Alligator mississippiensis: one gene and its partners. The protein of the gene in region 1 interacts with the protein of each later gene in a pairwise test. Links are inferred from orthologs where the notes say so. Each region holds a gene or a part of one and is shown on either strand. Other genes may lie near its edges.

Region 1 (7,206 bases):
GTCACCTGACATGAAGTAAGATCAAAGACACTAAAGGGAATCAGAATATTATATATATATTTTACTGTAGCTGCATTTAATCCCTCAGCACAAAGCTGTCTTTTCAGGAAAGATTAACATATTTAAAATGACTAAACTCTATGTAATCTGCAATCACCGAAGAAGTTAATTCAATTAAGGCAAGCCCCTGTTAATATTTTTTTTAATTTCTTGCTAGTCGCCCTACAATGCACAGCTTACATCGCAAGTCAGAGAGATGAGATACACACAGAGGTGCTTTTAGCTATCCATGGAATAAAATGCAGGTTTGCAATCAATCTACAGCAAGCACCTGAGGTTTCATCGATCCAGTTTTGAACCAGAAAAAGCATACTCTCACTGAGAACCAGCGATTTGCAGTAAATCCCAAAAGAAGCTGCAAGTGACCTTATGTCATGCAGCTAACACACCGACTGACTGGCATGGGCAGGGGAGGGCTCCAAGGGATGGACGACTGCAGCAGTGTGTCAGCTTTCATTCTCCAACATGCAGGGCTCAAGGTGTTGATGCAACAAAAATGAAAGCCAGATAAATTTTAGTAACTGAGGAGATGCAAGAAGCAGGGAGACAGAGGGGGCTTTATTTCAGAGATTAAATCAGAAGCCCCCAAACCTTCTTTGTTCAGAAAAAAAAACACACATTATTGCTGACAATAATGCATAGCATAATCTGGAGAAGAAAGAAAAAAAAAATCACTGCAGTGCAAGCAAACGTGTTTATTTAGGTAGAAAGCTGCACTGAATTGCCACGATACAGCCAAGGAGAAAAAAGGATGCTATTTCCATCGTTGGCCGATCACTTTTCCAAATAAAATACAAAAATAGATTCGGCAGAAACATTCCCTATTTCACAAGGCAAGACATTCTCTTTGAACACTTGGCTGCTTCTCCTGTGCCAGCTCGAAAGCCTTTAACGAGGTCCAATTAAGAACCAGGCAGCAGTAGCACATACATTTCTTGAAAAGATTGTAGGAAGCCAACACAAGAGGCATGATCTTAGCCCTGACATTCTGGTCTAGCTAATCAACAGCAGCACCCCCGTAACGTTTGATTTGCTTTTCTGAAGGGATTGAAAGGAAACAATGCCAGGGCAGCGTTCTGCTTTCCTACGAGTGGCAGCTAGATACCTTTAATGACGGCCTTCCAACCAGGCAGACAACCATTCAGTGAAACAGGAAGCGAACAGAACATCCCAGTGGCAACAGCTTTTTCAGAAAAGGACGCCTTGATTTGTAAAAGCCGCTGTTATGCAAGGCTTTGCACCCTCCAACGCCAACACAGTGAGGACAGACAAGGAGAGCAAGCTAAACAGGGGCGGAAAATTCCAGCGTTAACATTCCCAGCACTGATCAAGAGATGTTCAGGCTTTTTCTTCCTTGTACAGAAGACCACCATTAGCATATCTATCTAGTTACTAAGGCTAGACGCAACTGATCTTTATGCCGACATGGCTTTGTCCAAATCTCGCTTGGAGAGCAGAAGCAGCCTGGAATAAACAGGCATTTCCAAGCCACGCACAAGAACTCTGTTTAATGAGGTCTCAGAAATGCATCAGGATTGCCTATACTACAAGGACACCGGCTCATGAATGCGTGCCCCCAGCAGCTTTAGAGGAGCCAGCTTGGGTACGGCTACCAGGTGGCACAGCGCTGCCTACCTGGACCACTTGCCTGTGCATTTACCCCGCTTTTTGGGTGGATCTGGCAGATCATACTGGATTGCAGGTGGTTGTTGCTACTCTGCTAGCATTATGCAAGCCGGCGAGCTCGGAGAAGCTGGTGAGCTTAAAAGTAGCTTGGGTGCGTAGACATGAGCTAGTGTTTGCGAGACTGGAAGTACTTTGCTGCATCACTCCATCCTTCCCAGACAAACACACGTATGTTCAAGGGGAATCATCATACTCATGTGTCCAGAATCACTACCAGGAGAGGAGGATTCAGACCATCGGGCACGCAAACCCACGGGCGAGGACAGCAGCTGCCGCGATCCAGCAAGCAGCACCCAGAGAACAAATCCGTTACTGTGCCACGGATCAAACCGCCCTTTGAGACGCACGCCGCACGCAGAGTAAATCTCGGCCCTACGATCAAAGAGGCCGCAGAGCCTGCGAGGAGCGCGGCCGGCATCGGATCGATCCTGACCTGGTACCGACAGCGTCTTCCGCACGCGAACCGCTCTCAAGATCCTCGTAAAACGGCTGGCCGAGCAACACCTCGCTGCTGGCGCCCGGGACTCACGTGGTGGGGGGGGGGGTGTCACTCGGGGGCTATTGCGACAAAGGGGAAATAAAGAGAAGAGGCAGGCCAAAGGGAAGGGCCCACGTACGTGGCTTGACTCCCCTCGTACCGCGGAGGGCGATGGAAGTGACACCGACACCGACGTCCTTGTGGGAAGCACGGGGGGTGTTTAGCAATGCGGGCGCAGCAGCACCCCGTGCCCCGACGTCCCCCTCATTAAATCGGGGTGAAAAAGCACTCACCACTGCTGACGTGCAAAGGGCGGGGGGGGGGGGGGGGGCCAAGCCAGGCCTCCCCATCTCTTCCCTGCCAAAAGGTGGAGGAGATGCTCGCTCACTCGAGGTGTGTGTGTGTGTGTTGGGGGGGGATCTCCCTGCCCCCCCTCATTGCAGGGAGGGGACGCAGCCCCATGTGGGCAAACCCGCCCCCCCCCGCCGGGCACAGCCCAGTCCCCACGGCTGAGGGGGTGCAATAAGGGAGGGGGGGGGAGGAGGGGTGCGGCGCTCACCGCTCTGCTCGCCCAGGAAAACCAGCTTGAATTTCCGCAGCGGGTTCCCGAAGTCGCCGCCCGCCGACATGGCGGCGCCGGGGCCGGTGCTGAGGCGGTGCGGGTGCGGGCGCGGGGCCGAGGCCGGGGCTGACGACTGGAAGCGCGCCGTGCAACCGCTCCCGAGCGCCCGGCGGCGGTGGCGGCGGCTGTAGCGACGGTGGCGGTGGCGCAACGCAACCTGCTGGGCTGTGCGCGCGCAGCTAGGGGGCGGGGTCGCGCTCGGCTCCTCCCCTGTACACGTCAGCGCGCACGCCCCTCAGCCAATAGGAGCGCGAGGATGGGGGGAGCGGGGGGAGCGGCGCGCGGCGGGGGCCATGCCGAGTGTGGCAGCGGTGACGTCAGCGGGCCGGGGCGGAGGGCTCCCGGGGGTGTGCGAGGCTGGGAGCCGGCTGTGCAATTATGTGATTCCTCTGCTTGCTCCGGTCAGCGCCAAGCTGAGTTGATTTAAGCTGGTAACAAAAGAATGACGGTCTTGTGTGAAAGAAAACTTTTCACAACGATAAAGAAAGGAGAAAAAAAACCCAAAAAAATCAAGGCCATCGGCTGTTTGCAAAAGGCACGGGCCGCTCCGTATCGCGCACGACACGCCAGCAACATAAGAAGTTCAAATAACAAAATTTAAGCAATCATTAAATAAAGCCAAAGCAGAGCGGCAGAGCAGAAGGGGAGCACCGGACGGGGGAGCAGAAAGCAGAGCAGAAGGGGAGCACGGGGCGGTGGGAGCAGAAAGCAGAGCAGAAGATCCAGAAGGGGAGCACTGGGCAGGGCGAGCAGAAAGCAGAGTGGCAGATCAGAAGGGGAACACCAAACGGGGGGAGCAGAAAGCAGAGCGGCATATCAGAAGGGGGGTACCAGACGGTGAAGCAGAAAGCAGAGACGCAGATCCAGAAGGGAAGCACCAGACAGGGGGAGCAGAGAGCAGAGCAGAAGGGGAGCACTGGGCAGAGGGAGTGGAAGCAGAGCAGCAGATCCAGAAGGGGAGCACCAGGCGAGGGGAGCAGAAAGCAGAGTGGCAGATCCAGAAGGGGAGCACTGGGTAGGGGGAGCAGAAAGCAGAGCGGCAGATCAGGGGAGCAGAAAGCAGAGCAGCGTATCAGAAGGGGGACACCAGACAGTGAAGCAGAAAGCAGAGAGGCAGATCCAGAAGCGAAGCACCAGCCGGGGAGCAGAGAGCAGAGCAGAAGGGGAGCACCGGGCGGAGGGAGCAGAAAGCAGGATGGCAGATCCAGAAGGGGAGCACCGGGCGGGGGGAGCAGAAAGCAGAGCAGCAGAGCAGGCAGGGCAAGGAGATCGGAGTGGCACTGGCGAGCAGCGTGGTGCATAGGCAGCAGAAAGCCGGGGCTTGGGGGGTCTTAGCCCCTGCAAACTCATTTTGCGGCACCGCTCGGCGTGCAGCCAGGCCAGCGCCCCAGGCGCGCTCAGCTCCGCGCGGCTGAGGAAGAAGAGGCTAACCGCGCGTGCGCCGCACTGCACAGCGCACGATGGGGGTTGTCGTGCTCATGCTGATGCCTGCACTCAACCCCCGCCCCCAATAATATTTTCTCTCCCTGTCTATGGTGTGAGGCTGCTTGGTGGCATGCCTGCCAAAAAGGTTGCCCCCCACCGCAATCTACTCATTCCAACCCTTGGCTAGGATGGTCGTGACAGAGCTGAGCTGCCTTGGACAGGGGGCTGGACTGGATGGCCTCTGGATGGCCCTGACAACCCTCCGCTCTTCTGTGATCCTAGAAAATGCTCGATGGATGGGAGCAAACCCAACCTCACTGCTCCTTTGCATTTTTCCCATGCTGCTGCATACGCCTCTGCGTTTTCCCATGCATGTTAAAGACAGGAAGTGGAGGGGCCGCGAGTCAAAAGTGTGTTGGAGACACGGGTAAAGTCTAAGCTAAGAGCTGGGTTCATCATCGGGGCTGGCATTAGAGCAGTGCAAAGCACCCCGACTTGCCCTTGTAGCCTTGACAATGACTAGTAGCTGTCAAATCCAGGACCGTGGCGGGTATGGTTGTCTAACAAAGACCAGGGCCTGATAGCAAGCTTTGCCCCTGGTCCCCAAAAGGGAAGCCCTGACCCTGTTCCTCATTGCACCTTATTCACTGTGCACAGGCCCCAGGGTTGGGGCGGGGGACAGAGGCCAAGGCTGCTTTAAACCACCTCTGCTGATCCATTATTTTGGGATCAGTGAGGGACTGTCAAGGTAAAGCACACTGCAGCACTGTCCTCCCTGGCACCTGGCTGCCAGGAATAGCCTGGGTCCTGCAGCTCTCCCCAGCTGCAATCTCTTATGAATGCCCCCCCCATATGCTGCCTGATGCCCAAAGGGAGGAGGGAAGTTGACACCCAGCTTGTTTCACACTACGGGGAGATTTTCCTTCCACCAGCCAACTTCCCTAATGACAAGGTAGAGCTGCTACTTGGCCCCTTTGCACCAGCACCAGGCGAGGGAATTGGCACAAGCAGAAGCTGGGTCCTATATGACTTGCCCCAGGTCAGAGAGCAAACTAGAGGTGGATTAAGCCAGAGTTCTTGTTTAGACCACATCTTTTCCCCTGTAGAGAGGGCTGTGCTAAATAGACCCCCGAACCTTAATGTTATCAAGACACACCATCTCCTCCAGCCTTTTCCTCTTGGGTACAAAAAGCAGCTGCTGCAGGTTTGTGCTTTGACTCGGGTCCCCAGGCTCACACGTGTAACTTCAACTTTGCCCTCCCCATGATGAAAACCCTTGCAACGTGTTTCAATGAGCCATTTAAAAACCTTAGTCATGAATGATTCAAATCTCTCGTATTGTCACGGCTTGGCAGGCTCCTAGCATGACAGACCTAGATTGCTTGCAAAGGAAAAGGCAGAGCCTATCACAGCTTAGCCTTTAAACAGCTTTTGCAAGCAGACTGTGTAGGGAATGTATTTTTTTTCCCTGCTGAGAGCTATTCATTTTCTGTTGTCCTCTCCCAAGTAGCCATCGAGGTAGCTCTGGAGTTGGGGATTATAATTACTTTGGACTAGCTCCAAAATTTTATACATCAATCTATCACTGCTGCTGTGGCTGCTACTACGCTTTCATGCAGCTGCGGCATTTGTACCTCTGTCTGATGTAACACTTTCTTCCTCTGCCACCAGCAGCTTCCCAAGCTTCAGCTCCTGTCCTGAGATTTAAAAAAAAAAAACCCTGGCCCATTTTGGCTTCCCTGCTATGTATTTTAAGCAGACATTGAAAGTCATGCACTTCCGTTGCCGCAAGTCTTGAGAGAATCAGAATTTTCCAGACTGGTTGCCAAAAGAGCCCGGGATCCTGAGCTGAGGACAAGCTGCCTTTGGTGCACATCAGCTGTAAGTCTGCAATGATCTTCAAATTCCCTCAATCCAGAGGGAAGTCCAGGCATTGTGCACATCCCCCGCATAAATAGAGCAATGCTTGAGGTTACCATCATTTATACTGGCTGTCAAGAGTCTGCAGGATAACAGTAACTTAGCCACCTCATTCCTTTAGCCATGCCTCTGCCCTAGGATGCAGATCCAAGCATGCTGCTGTAGAGGGGAATCCTCCAGGGACCATGAGACACAGCTGTCTGTACTGATGGAGGGGGCAAGCCAGGGGCAGGAGCCCTGGAAATCAGGCCTCATATTTTTTACTGTCTCCTGCATACAATAATGCTTGTATAGCTTGGTCAGCCCCAGTCTGTCAAACAAGTCACTGTTTTTCCTTTGCTGCTGTGAGCTGCCAGGGTGGGTTGTATCAAGAATGAGAAAAGGGGGTCGGACTCAATGATCTATTGAGGTCCCTTCCGACCCTAACACCTAACATCTATGAAAATATACTGCCTTCATTACTCATTCACTTATTATTGATTGGACCCCAGCAGTCTTATGAGCTGCATAAGCGTGGAAGAAAATGTTCTCCCAAGGATGGAAATCACAGCAGCCTTGCCCTCAGAAACACTGGCAAAGCTCCTGCTGGCATTGGTGGGATTTACAGACTGGGCTAGTGGACAAAAGTGCTGGTCTGGGACTCGGGATACCTGGGCTCTTTTTCTCTGCTCTGCCACTAGCCACCTGGGTGATCTTGGGCATGTCACTTCACTTCTCCTGGCCTCACTTTCCTTAGGTGTGAAATGGAGATGATACTACTGTCCTCCTTCATAACCACCTTTCAGACCAACTGATGCAAAGCATTAGGTAAGAGCTAGGAATGTTTTTATTGTTTAGGACATCCATGCATTTAAGGGCAGAATAGGGCTCCTGACCATATACATCAGGCAGGGGATCCAATTTGGCTGAGTGTACCTTGGAGTCAGCAGGTGTAAGTCCCACGCAAGACCTCAAGTGAAATTTAGCAGTGATGTCAGTCAGTGGAAGTTAAACGTCAGGAGTAAATGGATCGGGA
Region 2 (7,344 bases), on another chromosome or scaffold:
ATGGCCACCCTAAGGCCATACCCAGGAAGTGTGCCCACCAGATAGCTTAACCCAGACATCCAGCCCCATGGCATATAACTGCTATGAGTTCAGCACATGCAAATGTGAGGAATGTTGCCATCTGTGTTTTTGGAAAACAAGCTGTGTTCACATAGCAAGGAAGGAACACCTTCACAAGCATGCCAGGTGACCAGCTAACACTTCTGGAGTTCCCAAAACACCTGTATGGAAAGAGTTTAAGTAAAACATGCTTGCTAATGCAGGTTTAGACAGCTCTTTTCCTGGTTTACGCATGGCTTGAAGCAAAGCCAGGACCTACGGCAGAGTGATCTGCTCAGGCATCTGCTGTTCCTGATAGAGTAGTTAGTGCAGAAGAGACACCTAGTCAAGTAGCTATTGTCTGTAAGGGGTAGGGCTATAAGTACACTGCTGTACCCTCTGTTCGTCCAGGCCATGTGCTGTTTCCCCCACCCCCTGCTACACACACAAACCTTTCAAAGGCCAACACAGACACATCACTACCACACTTTCCAAACATTCTGGAGCACATACCTCCCATTTACTTGAGACCAAAGTTCAAAGTCCTGACCCTAATCTACAAGGCATTTCACGTCCTTGGACCTAGTTACCATATAGTCAATCCTGCCCTGCAGTCTTCCATGTCAGGTACACTCCATGGGGATGACCCAGAAGAAAGAGGATGGTCTTGTGGTTAAGAAGTGGCATGGGCTCTCAGGAAATCTGGGCTTAAGTCTCCATTTTGCCACCAATTCCCCATGTTACCTTGGATTAATCGCTTAAGCAAAGCGCATCTCAGCTTGAGAAGGGAACTTCCCTACCCACCAGGGTGCTCTGAGGAACATGCATTAGCTGTTATGCGTTGTTGGTTGTAGTCATGTTGGTCTAAGGACATAGGCAGACAAGGTTATTTGGGTAGATGTGATATCTTTTAATAGACCAACTAACTAGTTGGAAAAATTATTCTTTGCAAACTTTTGAGCACAAACACCCTTCTTCAGGCATATCGAGTCTGATGGTGAACTGCGTGCTCTCCTGGGTAGAATAGAAGCCAACATGCAAAATGTAGGTCTGTGAAAATGCAGAGGTGCAGAGGTGGATCTTACTTAGCTGTTATGAGGTGCTCAGGTTCTAATGTGTCCTGTAGGATGGTCAGAACATTGCTGGTGGCAAGACCCGGGCTGTGTTCATCTGTCAAAGATCAGTCTGACCCCAGACACAAAATTCTTCTAACCCAGCTGCATTTCTTCAGTAAACCTTCCCCAGAATCGATCCTGTGGAGAAAAGACCTAACACACAAAGTCACTCTCCTCTGCCCCCACAGAGGCTGGAAGGGAAAAACAACTTTTGGCCAGGGCTTTTGTGTGGCTCAAATACCACAGAGAGCTGTTACATCAAAGCTCAGGTAAACTGAGACAAAGTAGCTTCTTAACACTGACCACAATTTGCTTTCCTTAGGGATAGAAGTGTCTGGAAATAAAGTGCATGTTTGATTGCATTGGGCTCATCGCAGCATTCCCGACAGATGCTCTCACCCAGCTGACACATGGAGCTCATTTTAACCGGAATCAGAATAAATTATAGGCCAAGATTTTCCAGCCTCCACAATCATCAATAGATTCAGCTGCTCTTTGGAACAACCCTCAGTCCCAAGAGCATGCAACAAAGGCTGCACTTTAGGGGTAAGAATAAAACCTCCAAGGTTTCCACGTGGGAGCAATCTGCTTGGGTGCTCCTCAGGAATGGCCCCAAAAGATGCTGAAGTCTGGCTGAACACAACACATTTTAACACCGCAGGCTCTATGAACAACTGCTGAACTGAGCAGCTGCTGTATTTGTCTTACCAACAGTTGTGTTCAGCCATGTAACACAGTCTAGGAAGGCAATGTGGTGAGGGATAGGGATTTATTATTTACTATTGCTTACGAGAACTAAGGGCCACAAAATGAAACTAGTAGGTAGCAAGTTTAAAACTAACAAAAAGATGTTCTTTATTACACACAGAGTGCCATTAGAGTGTGGATCTCCTTGCCACCAGATTGTTGTGCGTGCTGACAGTTTAGCCAGGTTCAAAAAGAGATTGGATGCTTTCTTGGAGGAAAGGGGCAGCAGTCGCTATTGAGCACAGGAGTGAGGGGCACCATCCGAATCAGACCTTCCTAGGCCCTAAATGCTGGAGGCTGCAAGTGGGAGAGCAACAGTGGGGAAAAGCCCCTGGTCATACCCTCATCTTTTGCTACCCACTCTCTGCCACTGCGTGACAGGCCTTTTTGACGTGCCTAGCGAATCATGGGGTTGAGCCCATCAAGGAAGAGCTTTTCACCTTCCTTAGTGGGGAAGCTACTGGAGACACATCAACTGAGTTCAGGGGAAAACTAAAGAGAAAACAGGGACTGGAGTCACGTCACAGGTTCAAAACAAGTGCTCCGAGGGGGGACACTAAGCAGAGCACACCAGCCAGTGCCCACTGGCCTTCAAACACATCCTGGGAGCCAGTGGACACTGCATACTGAAACTCTGCTCGGATACATGAATGGACAAGGGACAGGAAAGCAGCCCCACAGTCCCCAGGAGTCATCCCAGCCAGTCTCCTTCCTGGTCAGATAAATTGCGAGTTTAGCCAGGGCCAGAAGGAGGTTCATCAGGAACCTCCGGGCACTTGGTGGGGCCAGAAGACTGGACAAGTCAGGTAAATTTTCTATCCAGTGAATGGCAGCTCTTAAATTTTTAACATACACTCCATCCTTGATGAAGCTGAAGTTGGTTCCTTATTCCCAGTTCCTTATTCCCAATTCCTGTTTTTTTCAAAAGTAATCTTTACACAATTAAAAGTTTCTGGTAAGGGATTTGATATGCTAAAGAATTAGAATATAATAAAAAATGTATATTTACTAATACAAATGTAAAATAAGATTATGTACCAAGTATATAGCCTTGAATAAACAGCTGAGATTAGGCTGAGATTATGGGGGAAAATCCTTTTAGACTCACCCCAAAACACACATCTCCATCCCTGGGGGATACTTTTGAATACGTCACCACCGGGGGACTTCTGCCACCGGGGGACTCTCCCAAAGAAGACTGGGCAGAGTCCTGCCCAACCTGAAGGTCGGTTTCTGCGCTGCTGCCTGATCCCCATCACATGCTGCTGTCCACCCCTGGAAAAGTCATGACAGGTGCTTATCCAAAAATCCTCATATTGGCCTAGTTTTTTGTCTAAGACTGCTGCACATTTAATAGGGGGGAAAAACCAAGAAAAAACCTAGTGTAATGTTTAACATGGTTGAAACCTGAATCAAGAAGTCAAATAATACAACGATGTCCCAAGTCAGCGAAGTAGGCTCCATCCTCATAGCAACAGGGTTTCCAAAAAATTCGTATTTCTACATACATGGGCCCCATGAGCTTGAAGTTGGTTCCTTCTTCCCAGTTCCTTTTTCAAAGCTCATCTGCACACAACTAAAGATTGTTAACAAGGAATTAGGCGACAGAGTTAGAATTGCGTCAGAAATATAGATTTATTAATAACCAAGGATCCTGGTTTTCTCCAATTTAAAAAAAATCCCCAATTTTCAGTTTAAAAACAGTAACCCCAAAACCACATTTTTCCATGATCAAAATGAAACACTATATATAAAAACATATATATATATAAAAATACCACATATATTAAAATGAAACACTACATATATGTGTGTATATACACGCACATACATATACACCACTAATATACATAAACCCCACTAATAAATGTGTGCGTGTGTATACAGAGAGAGAGAGTGGTGTTTTGATCATGGAACAATGTGGATTTGGGGTTACTTTTTTTTAACTGAAAATTGGGGATTTTTTTAAAATCCGAGAAAACCAGGCTTTCCTGCTAACAATAACAACGTAAAGATGCAGGCTGGGTGGTGGAGCCGTGATCTCATTCGACATTTGTACTAGCAAATCTACACCGCCGGTGACGCCCCAGCTGTTTGATCTGCCTGGTTCCTCACGAAGAGCCTGAACGTCGGTGGCAGAGGCGATATCTTTCATTAGACCAACTAGACAATTGCAAAAAAAAATGTCTGTATTAGCAAGCTCCCGACTTCAACCTATATTACTAACAGCCGGTCACTGCGGAAAGGGCTCGGGGAAAGGAACCAGCTTCGGGCTCCTCCATCCTCGGCTGCCCCAAGGCGGCGGCGGCGGGAACAGGGTCGCTCCGCGGCGCTCTACGTGTATCCCGGCCTGTGCCGGCGCGGCCACGTGACGCGGCGTCGCTCCCGGATTGGGCAGCGCGGGCAGACGCCCCCGGCCGGCCCCGCCCCGCTGTGCTGTGCAGCGCTCTGCCGGCCGGCCAGGCGGGGCAGGCGGCGGCGGCGGCGGCGGAATGGCCGAGTTGGGCGGCGGGGTCCGCGAGCGCATCCTCTGCCTCTTTGATGTGGACGGGACGCTCACGCCGGCTCGCCAGGTACCGGGGCTGCACGCGGGGAGGGAGACCCCCTGTGCCCGGCCTTTGCCGCGGGCCGGCCAGGGCAGGGGCATCGTGCTGGTGTCCGGCCGGGCTCTGCGCGGCTTCCTCGTGGGGAAGCAGGCTCGGGCTAGATGCCAGGGTTTGAATGACGCTTTGACTCTTGGGGGGGGTCTGCAAAAAAAAAATAAATAAAAAAATTGGGCTGCCCGTCACGATGCCCTGATAAAATCGGAGACCCCCCCCCCTTCCCCTTTATGATTTTTAAATCTTACAGGGGGCTCTTGTGTCTTATAGGGCCCTGAGCTCCCCTGTTACTCAAACCCTGCTAGATGCCACCCTGAGGTCCCTGCCACCCCATTTTCTCTGAGCCCCTGTGATGGGGGAGGGCAGGAGCCAAGCAGGGCTGGACCTCAGAAGCTGCAACCGGGCCCCCACACGTGCCATCCCCTGCGCTGAGAGCTACCCAGAGAGCCTGTGACATTTCCCTCTTTGGAGGTTTTGAAGCCACAGGCAGACCAAGCCTTGGCTGGGATGATCTAGTCGGCGCTGGTCCTGCTTGGGACAGGGGGTTGGGCTAGATGCCCTCCTGTGGTCCCTTCCAGACCTCGTCTTCTAGGAGTCATCCCTGCGCCACTCCGGCCAAGCTAATCCAGGCCCCACTGCCCTCTGCTGCGTCTTCGTCCTGAGCTAGCTGGACCCAAAGGCGGCCGGATGCTGCTGCAGGCCCTGGCTCTCATGGGGGCAGCTGCTTCTGAGGGCAGAGGCACATGGAGCAGCTGCCATCTCAAGCAGAGATCCCTCAGGGGTGCCAGCCCCGTGTGCCCACATAGCCTTGCACCGCAGAAGCAGGAGGTTGGCTGTTATGGTTCCCCTGCTTTTCTTTTGGCCCGTTAGGGCGGTAGGTTGCATTGTGTCAGGGTGGACGGCAGTCTTATGTGGAGTTTAGATGATGGTTGTATGGGATGGTTTGGATAGGGAAGATCCTGCCTCAGGCAGGTGTTGCACTAGGTGACCTTTGGAGGTCCCTTCTAGCCCTGCTCCTCTATGATTGCATGAACTGCTTCTCGCATGCAGCCCCAGAGAGACTCGAACCCGCTTGCTAAGAGCACAAGCGAGGGAGGATGCTCTTGGGGATACCAAAGGGAGGAAATGAGGCCATGTCTTCTGTGACCTGCATGGTTTCTCATCCCCTCTTACTGCCGCCCAGAGGTCGGCACCCTTTAGGCACACCTGGAACCAGACTGGTGCCGGGTTTGCGCTTGCATGGCTCTGAAGCTGGTACTATCTGCACATGCAATGGTCAAATGGGCCTGGCAGGGCGAACTCTCTCCCCTGCATCCCAGTTGTTTTGTTTCTAAGGGCCTCAGCAAAGCAGGCCTCTGCTGAAGTAGAGAAGGGTTCCCTTTCTGTTGGTTGACAGCAGTGTGAGAGTGTTATGCAATGGGCAGCCTGCAGCATCTGCTTGGTTTTCTAGGGAGGAAAGGGAAGCCTGCCCTCTGCTCACAGCCTCGTGAAAGCTGTCTGTGGTACTTGCTTAACCTGTTACCATAGTGCCTAAGGCTCACCCTACTTAATATGTTGATCCAGGAAGTAGGGAAGTGCTGTGGTGCCTATTTAATAGAGAAGCAACTGAGGGCACAGACGGAGTCATGGTCACCCAGGGAATCTGTGTTCGAGAAGTGGTTTGAACTCTGGTCTCTTTCAAGTCTGAGGCTAGGGCCCTAGAGCACTGGGGGATGGAAGATGCTGGCATCTTGTGAGGGAGGAATGGGAGCCGGGCTAGTGAATCCAGGTGGAGAGCCTGGAAGCACCTAGCTCTTCCAAAATAATGCTTCCTGCACCCCCACATCCTTTCATCCATTGCCCTTCCTAGATGTCTCACCCTTGCAGCTACAGGCCAGCTGATCTCCACCCTACTATGGGTTGCATGTAGACCCACATATGCCTTGGCCTCGTGCAGCCCTTTTGTGACTGTTTACCCATCTGTACATTCTGGCCCGGTCCATCTTTGAAGAACTGAATCTGCAAAGATCTGTGTGATCCCTTTCCCATGCCTGCAAATGCATTGTGCTCGCAGCACACAAGTGTTCCCAGTGTTTCACTTACATATTAAATATATTTGGATTTGACTTGTGATTTGCATAGTAGGCACAAGAGCAGTGACCAGCACAGTGAAGTCCTGCTTCCTGGTGGGGACCTTCCCTTGCTGGCTGCCAGTGAATCGCACCACCATGTGTTTAGCTGGGCAAAATATGGCTCACTTCTTGACCTGTTTCAGTTTGAGTTTGATTGATGCCAATGTGGATGGTCCCAAAAGAGGATCAGGCAGTCTTCTCCTTCCTGTGTCATGGCCCTTGGAGAATTCTCTGAATCCACTGCTTTGGGGAGGTCAGCTGGGAACTGTGGGCTGCCAACCATGGCAAAATGATGTAGAACAACAGTAGCATGGAAACAATGCAAAACCATGAGAGGTTGGAGCATGGGTCAGAATGGAAACAGTGAAATGTTTGTGTTTAGACCAGCCTCATCCCACCAGTTCAGTTCTCTAGTGCAGACATGGCCTGGAGGGCTCAATATAATGCAGCAGGATAGTGACAGTGCTCTTGTCCCCCTCATTTAGCTGTAGCAAATTAAGATGTTTTTGGTGTTTTGGGGCACTGTGCCTGGTAGTTGTCAGAGAGGGTTGTTCATGCTGTTTTTAGATTAGATTAGATTAGACCAACGCTTTTATAGGATGGCTTAGTCAGGGATAATCCTGCCTTGAGCAGGGCATTAGATTAGATAACCTTCTGAGATCCTTTTAGCCCAGTTTTCTGTTATTCCTTACCTTGGGCAGGGGTCTTGTGAGGCTAGATATGTGTCTGTAA
Region 3 (7,192 bases), on another chromosome or scaffold:
CGATCCTGCAGGCCCCTAACTCAGGAGGAGTGATCCAATTCAAAGTAACAACTACTTAGTTCCTTTCAAGATAAAGGCTTGTAGCATCCTGCCAAAGAAGGTCCATTAAGCTACTTATTTTTGTCAACTTGTAATATAACCTGTTTGGTTTTCTTCAGGTGATGCAATAATTAACCACAACAGGTATTTTCCCCATAGAGTCCAAAGAAATAAATCACACACATAGCTTTAACTGTCCCAGAAAAGCATAAAATGGATTGCAGTTCACAGAAACTGTGATCTTACCCCTAAAGTACTTTTCAGTCAGTAATCTCTCTAACTTTTTATGGAATAATAAATCAAAGTGGAGCAAAAGAGAAATGCAGAACAAATTTGCACACAGGAACAGGTTTTGTATCACCACGCTCAAAACTATGTTGATGAAAGTTCACCCAGGGCTCCAGCCTTCACTATAAATGGGAAAGGAAGGATGGAGGAAAGGATTGAAGTGCAAATGCCAAATGTCTGTACAACCCTGAATACTCTGAAGTACAGTTCTGGAAGTAAAATGCCTTGGCAGCTGTATACAAGTTAGGGATAAAACTAAAGAAGCAATCATGCAGCTCCATTAGTAACACCCTATGCTTTAGGAACATACTGGCCACATAGGTTATCAAACCTCCAGGAACAGCATCAGAATAGCTTGTACCCTGGGCAGACTGTTCCTCAGAAGGCTGCACACACCCCATTTACTTGTGCTGTAAGCTGTCATCATGAGGGACACTTTACTGCACTCAAAAAAATTGCAAGTAGATGAAAGTCACTCCTTCTGGGCTGGGACCTTGTCTAGCTATGCACTGAAACATCACCTAGCACAAGGCCAGGAGCACCCTGAATCTCTGAGGGCTCCTGTCAAAAGTAATTATAGAAAAATACCACTGATTTGATATGTTATGAAAGTGAGTGTGAAGGTGCAATTAGAGCAGGGGATTGAAAGATGACCTACATTTTTGAGGCCTACATTTTTCTCCCAAAACCCTGCTTTACTCTGATGCAAGCTTATATAACCCAAAGATTAATTCCCTCTAAATTCAAGCTTGCCATGTGGCAGATCTTATGTGTAAAACACTTCTAGTTAAGCCTGGGAAAACGAAAAGTTACATAAACAAAACAAAATCCCCTTCCAAGACTGTTCCACTTGTGTCTGCTGGAGAGTTAGTACATCCTAACAAATTCCAGATTCCAGGTTCGCAACACAAGAAAACTACAGCAACTACATTTTCCCCTGACCAGCAGAGTCCTCAAGCTGTTCCTGGAACTGTCTGCATGCAAGGGCTTGAGATAATTACCACAGGATGGACAGACACATGAAAATCCTACAAAAAAATCAAACACAAGAGGAGTGAATTGGCAACCATGATTTTTTGTCTCTGCTTCTTAAGATTTCAACAACATGCTGCAATTCTTCAGCCAGGCTTTTTTAACCTGAATCCTACAGCATCTCCCACAGCCCAGCCCAACAGGTTTGCTCTAGTGCAGACAGAACTCAGGAGGCAGGTCCTATTGCCGACTCCCCCGCAGCCTGCTGGGTCACCTTGTGGGAATCACTTCACTGCTCTGTGCCTTGGCTTCCCCACCCACTCTGTAAAGCGACAGCAGACTGTCTCCTCTGACTACTGTGATATAAAGGACTATGTAAGGGGTAGGTATGGTTATTCTGCAAGGATGGAAGAAGCTACAAGGGAACAAAGAAAAGATCAGAATGAATCCTCTTTATGAGGCTCCTTAGTGGCTCCCTCACCTCCTCATCAAACTTGCGTTCTTTGAGGGCTGCTCCACATGTACCAGCTTCAACTTGAAATCAGCTCAGGTACAGCTGTACAAACCCCCAATGCAAAATACATTTAACTTTAAACCTACCCAGGTTATGTATCTAGGGCTTCTTACTACCAGCATTAGATAACGTTTGAATGATGTTGTAACCACGATGGCCCTGTGATGGTCCAGGAGTTATGCAAGAGGAATGGACCGTTGCGAGGGCTGGGATGAGGAATGCTTTGCAGCTGAAAGCTCGTCTGCGTCCAGTTGGCCCAATGAAAGGCACCCCCTGCCGCAGTCCTTGCCCACTACCAACACCTCAGCGTAACAAAATGCTGATCCCTAATCATTCATCAGTCAGTCTGGGCAAGAGGAAGAGGAATGGTTTGCTCAGAGGTTCAAGGAAAGCAGGCCAGGGGCCTGCGTGCTCAGCTGCTTCGGTCTGAACGGGGCTCATTTTGAGTTTGTTTTTAAAAACGGATGTGAGCTGAAAACCAGCGGAACCAAACAAAATGGGACCCGAGCGGCCCGGGGTCCCGAGGAGCAGTCTGGCTGCAGCCCGGTGTGACGGCAGCGAAATGCCTGCAGCCTCCCCGCGGGGCCGGGCCGGGCCGGCTCTCCGCTGTCACCGGCGGCCGTGGGCGTTGTCCAGCCCGGCCCCGGCCGCCTCCCCGCGCAGCCGAGCGGACCCGCGCCCTCCGCGGGGGTTGGTTTTTAACCCAAGGAGCCCCGCAGAGGTGCCAAGCCCGGCGGAGCTCGCCGCCCCGGCCTCCCCCCGCCGCAGCGCGAGGCTGCGAGCCTCGCCCGTCCTGCCCCGGCTCCCGGCTCGGGGCGGGCGCGGCGCCCACCTCCTTGAGCTGCTCCATCTCGGTGCGCACGGTCTCGTACTCCAGCTCCAGCTCCTCGTACTGCTGCTTCAGCTGCTGCTTCTCCTCCAGCACGGCCAGCCCGTACTCGGCCGCCTGGATCTTCTCGCGCGTCGTCTCGCCCAGCTCTTGGAAGAGCCGCTTGATCTCGCCCCGCAGCCACTCGGGCTCCGACTCCATCACGAGCCGCGCGTACTCGTCCTCCTCCATGGCCAGCGCCATCGCGGGGGCAGCGCTCACCGCCGCGGGGCTGCCATGGGCTGGGCTCGCCCCTCACGCAGCCGCCCGGTGCCCGCGGCCGCCGCCGCCGCCGCGGAGCGCAGCGCAGTCATTCAAACGGCGGCCGCCGCCGCGCGCGCTACTGGGGATCGTAGTCCCGCCGAGCCCCGCCCCCCGCCCGCCCCACAATGCACCGCGCCCCCGCCCCGCAGCGTCGGGGTCTCCCGGCTAGGAAGGGCGTAGCTGCCCCCGGCTCAAGGGCGCGGCCGCCGCGGCTTCTCTCTCCTCTGGGAGACGCCACGAGCAGCGGTGCCCTGGACCGTGTCAGGGCCGCTCCCCTTCCTCCTCCAGGCCGCTAGAAACCGTGGGGATGAGGGGAGTTAGTGGGTTGAGGGCTGCCGCTAGGCCAGGTGGACATGCCTGCCTATTCAATGAGCACCAATGGCCAACCTCCAGCCTGAAGAAGTGTTTGTCAGGCTAAGCACATAGTCACTCTGGCTGATTTCTTCATTCATGAAGACTAGCAAGCCTGGCCATTTTATACACAAACAAGAAAAATGATTTCTGAAGACTACAGTCACAAGAAGACCCCTCCATGAAGAGTACCTTGCATTCAGAAACTTGTCTGTCTTATCCCAAGCATGCTATCGATTCGATAAAAGGTACCCCCCACCTCCAGAGAATGGCCCCTGCAAAGACAGACACTGGTTTCTGAAACCAGATTATCCCCATGTAACTGCTTGCTCCTGTGGGGCTACTGGTGGGCATTGGTCTTTGCATTCAGGGCCTAATATGAACTTTCAAGCCCTTATTCAGATGCGTAACTCTTGAAATCAAGGTGACTGCTATGGAGGTGAATACCACACACATCAATAAGGGTTTAAAGATCGAGCTAGAAAGAGGGATTCACAGAAGTTGAGGGCCCCCCCTTTCTCTGATCAGGAAAGACTGCTGGGGTCAAATAATCCCAGTGAAAACAACACAGGAGGGAAGATGGCCAGAAAGGGAAAGGAAAACCAAGATAGCCAAGATGAGAGAGTGCATTTGCTTTTCAAGGTGTGCATGCTTCTCGAGAGTTTGGCTTTTGTTTGTTTCAAAATGAAAGGTGTTATATCCATCATGATAGAATTACTTGGTTACAAGAATCAATCAGTTATTGCACTGACGGAAGGGTGTGGCCCCCAGAGACTGATACATTCGGAGGCACACACTTTTATAGGTGACAACCTATTTAAATGATGCCTTCATAGCATCTGATGAAGTAGGCCTGTTGCCTGTGAAAGCTTATGCTTCTCTGAATGAATCAATCTGTAAGGTGCCACCCTGCCGTGCCCTGCCTTCTGCCTGACGTTAGACTAAATACAGTTAACTACCCACTCTCTGCTAGTTATTGTACTGCAAAGCTTCGCACATTTCTAACTTTTGCTCACTCAAAGTACTTATTTTCTAATTTGAATATTTTAAATTAAAAAAACACCCCTGAATTGTCTTGGCTGAGACTCTTATCTTTCAGAAGGTAATTGCTATATTACTACTTTTAATATAATTAATTCTTCTGTCACTGATCTCATCTCTCTCTCAAGTGAATAAGCAGGGAAGTAAAAAGATGAGGTTCTTGCTTCCAGGGAGGTTACAATCTAGACAGAGTATATAAAAGGAAATTGCAGGAAGCTTTGCATGGGAGACAGTTGGGGACAACAATAAAAAGAAGAAATGTAAACAGCTTATGGAAAGCTATTTGTTTGGTCATGTTTGTTTTCTCTGATCTTTACATTTTTTAAATTTTTTCAGAATAGGTACAGATACAAGGGGCAAAGGTGATTAATGACAGCAAGTGAGATGGAATTACTCCCACAAATAGGTAATAAAGATTCATGTTGCCTTTTAAGACCCTGATCTGGAAAAACATTTAAAGCACATGCATAACTATAATCACATGAGTAGTCCCACTCAGTTCAACAGAACTCATCTATTTAAAGTTGTGCACATGCTCAGATGTGTTGACTACGTAAGAGCTGTAATTGAGAACAAGCCTGCAAGTGACTAGAATGGGGAAGGGGAAAAAAAGCCAAACATGTCAAGCAATAGAAACATGGACAAGTTTCTGTAGCAGATATTCACTGCAGGGTATTATGTTGTAAAATACAGCAGACAGTTCATGATTAGCATTTCAGAATAGCAGTAGTACTCCTGGATCTATGCAGCTGGGCTATGTGGGTCTGGACTTCAAAGGGTTGCAAACCACACTTGCAAACCCAACTTGCCAGTCAGACTATCAGACATGGTTCTCATATTTATTCATTTAACTGATCTATGGTGGAGGAAATCACTATTCCTAGCTCACTTGCAGTTCCATGTCCTGAATGTCCAGTTCTTGTAGAACAGATCACCAGAAATGAGTATCTTACAACAGCTAGATGAAGAATCATGCCACTGCTTGTGCAGAAGTGGGTCATGGTCATTCCTGGACAGACAGCTGGAAAGGATGCATATTATTTTACAAAAGCTACCTTAAAAAGAAGTTAGCAAGTACATTTGTTCATGACAGCAAACCTATTATCATAATTTTACTCACTAGCTATAGAATGTGTGTGAGTGCATGTGTGTGTCCAGTAAGTCTTCTACATGCTGACAGGAGTACTACAACCTCTTCTTTTTTCTATTATTTCAAATCCACACTCAGTGGCTGCATAGTGTTTTCCAGCTATAATTTGGGAATAAAAGTATTTTCCTCCTTCCTAGGGTTCTAGTGAGGCATTAGCAGTCTAGACTGAGGCCCTCAGGTACTACAAAAATGGGGGCTTCTCTGCACCTAATATAGATTTTTGCGTAAGACTTGATGGGCTCATGCAAAGGGAAATACACAGTGCTGCACAAGCAGCCTCCTTACCATCTTAATACCACTTGAAAAAGGGGGCACTCCGCAGTGGGGAAATGTAGTCAACTAATGTGGCAAAGTCCCTTACAATGAAAGGCTGAATGTTCCCAAAAACAGTAAACAGACCCAGTAATGTGGTAATTACTCTCCCAATTAGAATTAATTAACTTATAAGACACAATGAAAGGATAAACAGCCTGAGCCAAACTCTGCTCTCAGTTGCACCAGTGTGAGTATCTCTACTGTAGTCAGTGGAGTTACTCCAACTCTCCACAACTTTAATTGGGAGCACAGCTCAGCCCTCTCAAAGTCACTGGGAGAGCTTGTCCAGCTTGGTCACTGCTTCACCCTCCTTTGCTGAAGCTCAGAATTGCAACTCCATCAAAATAATTGGTACTAAATTGCTAGATAAAACCCAAACAGTAAAAACAATTACCTGTTTGAGCACATGGGAGGATTAGAATATAAAACAATGGCTTTGCCTACAGCTAGCTGTAGGGCCTATTCAAGCACTTTTATCTTCCACCAATCTATAGTTGTCCTGATCCACTTTGGTATGTATGAGAGCATATAGATCCCTTTAATAAAGTCTTTAATGTCTGTGAATTTAGCCTCACAGTCATTAGGCAGCCTTGGCTAATATTTTGTTAGGGATCATGTGCCAACCCCAGACTCCACAGGGCTCACATGGAAAGGCTGTATTTGTCATGTGAATTCTGATGTACCACCCTAATCCTCTTCCTTTTAACAAACTTGCCTGGATCTGAAAAATAAAAAGTGATGTAATCAGCTACTGCAATTAACCAAAGTTTCTTTTGTTTTTAATTTCAAAATGTTGCAAGAATTTTGTTAGAGGCGTATCTGTTTCAGTTTGGCCTAAACCAGAAAACATTGACTCACCTGCTACATTAAACACTTCAAGATTTATATATTGCCAGTTATTTTTTTCCTGCCAATGAGTTCCACGTGCCCTACAGAGAGTGGCTAAAATCCCCTAGCCATTCTCTAGCCAAACTAACTGGGCCAGCCAGCTTCTGATCTCACCCCAGATTTACACTGGTCTAATTAGTTCTATTGACTTCAATAGAGTCATTCTAAATTTGTACCACTATGGGCACCTATACACATGCAGGGAGGCTGCTCCAACACACTGTAATTACAGCATATCAGAGCAGACCCAGTGGAGTTTGCTCATTCAACATGCTTTAGTTAAAGCTCCCCCACTGCCATTTTTCAGCACGGGGATGCTGATATACATGACGCTGCAGGCACTTTAATTATAGCAGCTCTTGGAGCCACTCTAATTAAAGTGCCCCCCTCCAGACCACATGTATAAATTCCCTGTGAGATCAGACTGTGGCGCAGTGAATATGAAGGTCCTGCACTGTCACAGTTAAACATGCATCTGTTTGCAAACCATGCTACCTACCAT

The links. The genes of interacting proteins can lie anywhere in the genome.
Region 2: the proteins of RAB6A (region 1) and PMM1 interact in binary tests that used the Homo sapiens proteins (3 or more experiments, as listed by UniProt). The two-hybrid records come from large-scale screens. The link is inferred for Alligator mississippiensis from reciprocal best matches to the Homo sapiens genes RAB6A and PMM1.
Region 3: the proteins of RAB6A (region 1) and BICD2 interact in binary tests that used the Homo sapiens proteins (3 or more experiments, as listed by UniProt). The link is inferred for Alligator mississippiensis from reciprocal best matches to the Homo sapiens genes RAB6A and BICD2.

What each region holds. Positions count from the first base shown.
Region 1 is NC_081824.1:467,028,567-467,035,772, reverse strand, and holds the start of RAB6A (ras-related protein Rab-6A), read right to left. Parts: upstream 3,004-7,206; 5' UTR 2,854-3,003; coding exon 2,784-2,853; intron 1-2,783. UniProt on the Homo sapiens protein: The small GTPases Rab are key regulators of intracellular membrane trafficking, from the formation of transport vesicles to their fusion with membranes.
Region 2 is NC_081827.1:97,120,570-97,127,913, forward strand, and holds the start of PMM1 (phosphomannomutase 1), read left to right. Parts: upstream 1-4,336; 5' UTR 4,337-4,393; coding exon 4,394-4,474; intron 4,475-7,344. UniProt on the Homo sapiens protein: Involved in the synthesis of the GDP-mannose and dolichol-phosphate-mannose required for a number of critical mannosyl transfer reactions. In addition, may be responsible for the degradation of glucose-1,6-bisphosphate in ischemic brain.
Region 3 is NC_081835.1:25,351,598-25,358,789, reverse strand, and holds the start of BICD2 (protein bicaudal D homolog 2), read right to left. Parts: upstream 3,009-7,192; 5' UTR 2,886-3,008; coding exon 2,646-2,885; intron 1-2,645. UniProt on the Homo sapiens protein: Acts as an adapter protein linking the dynein motor complex to various cargos and converts dynein from a non-processive to a highly processive motor in the presence of dynactin.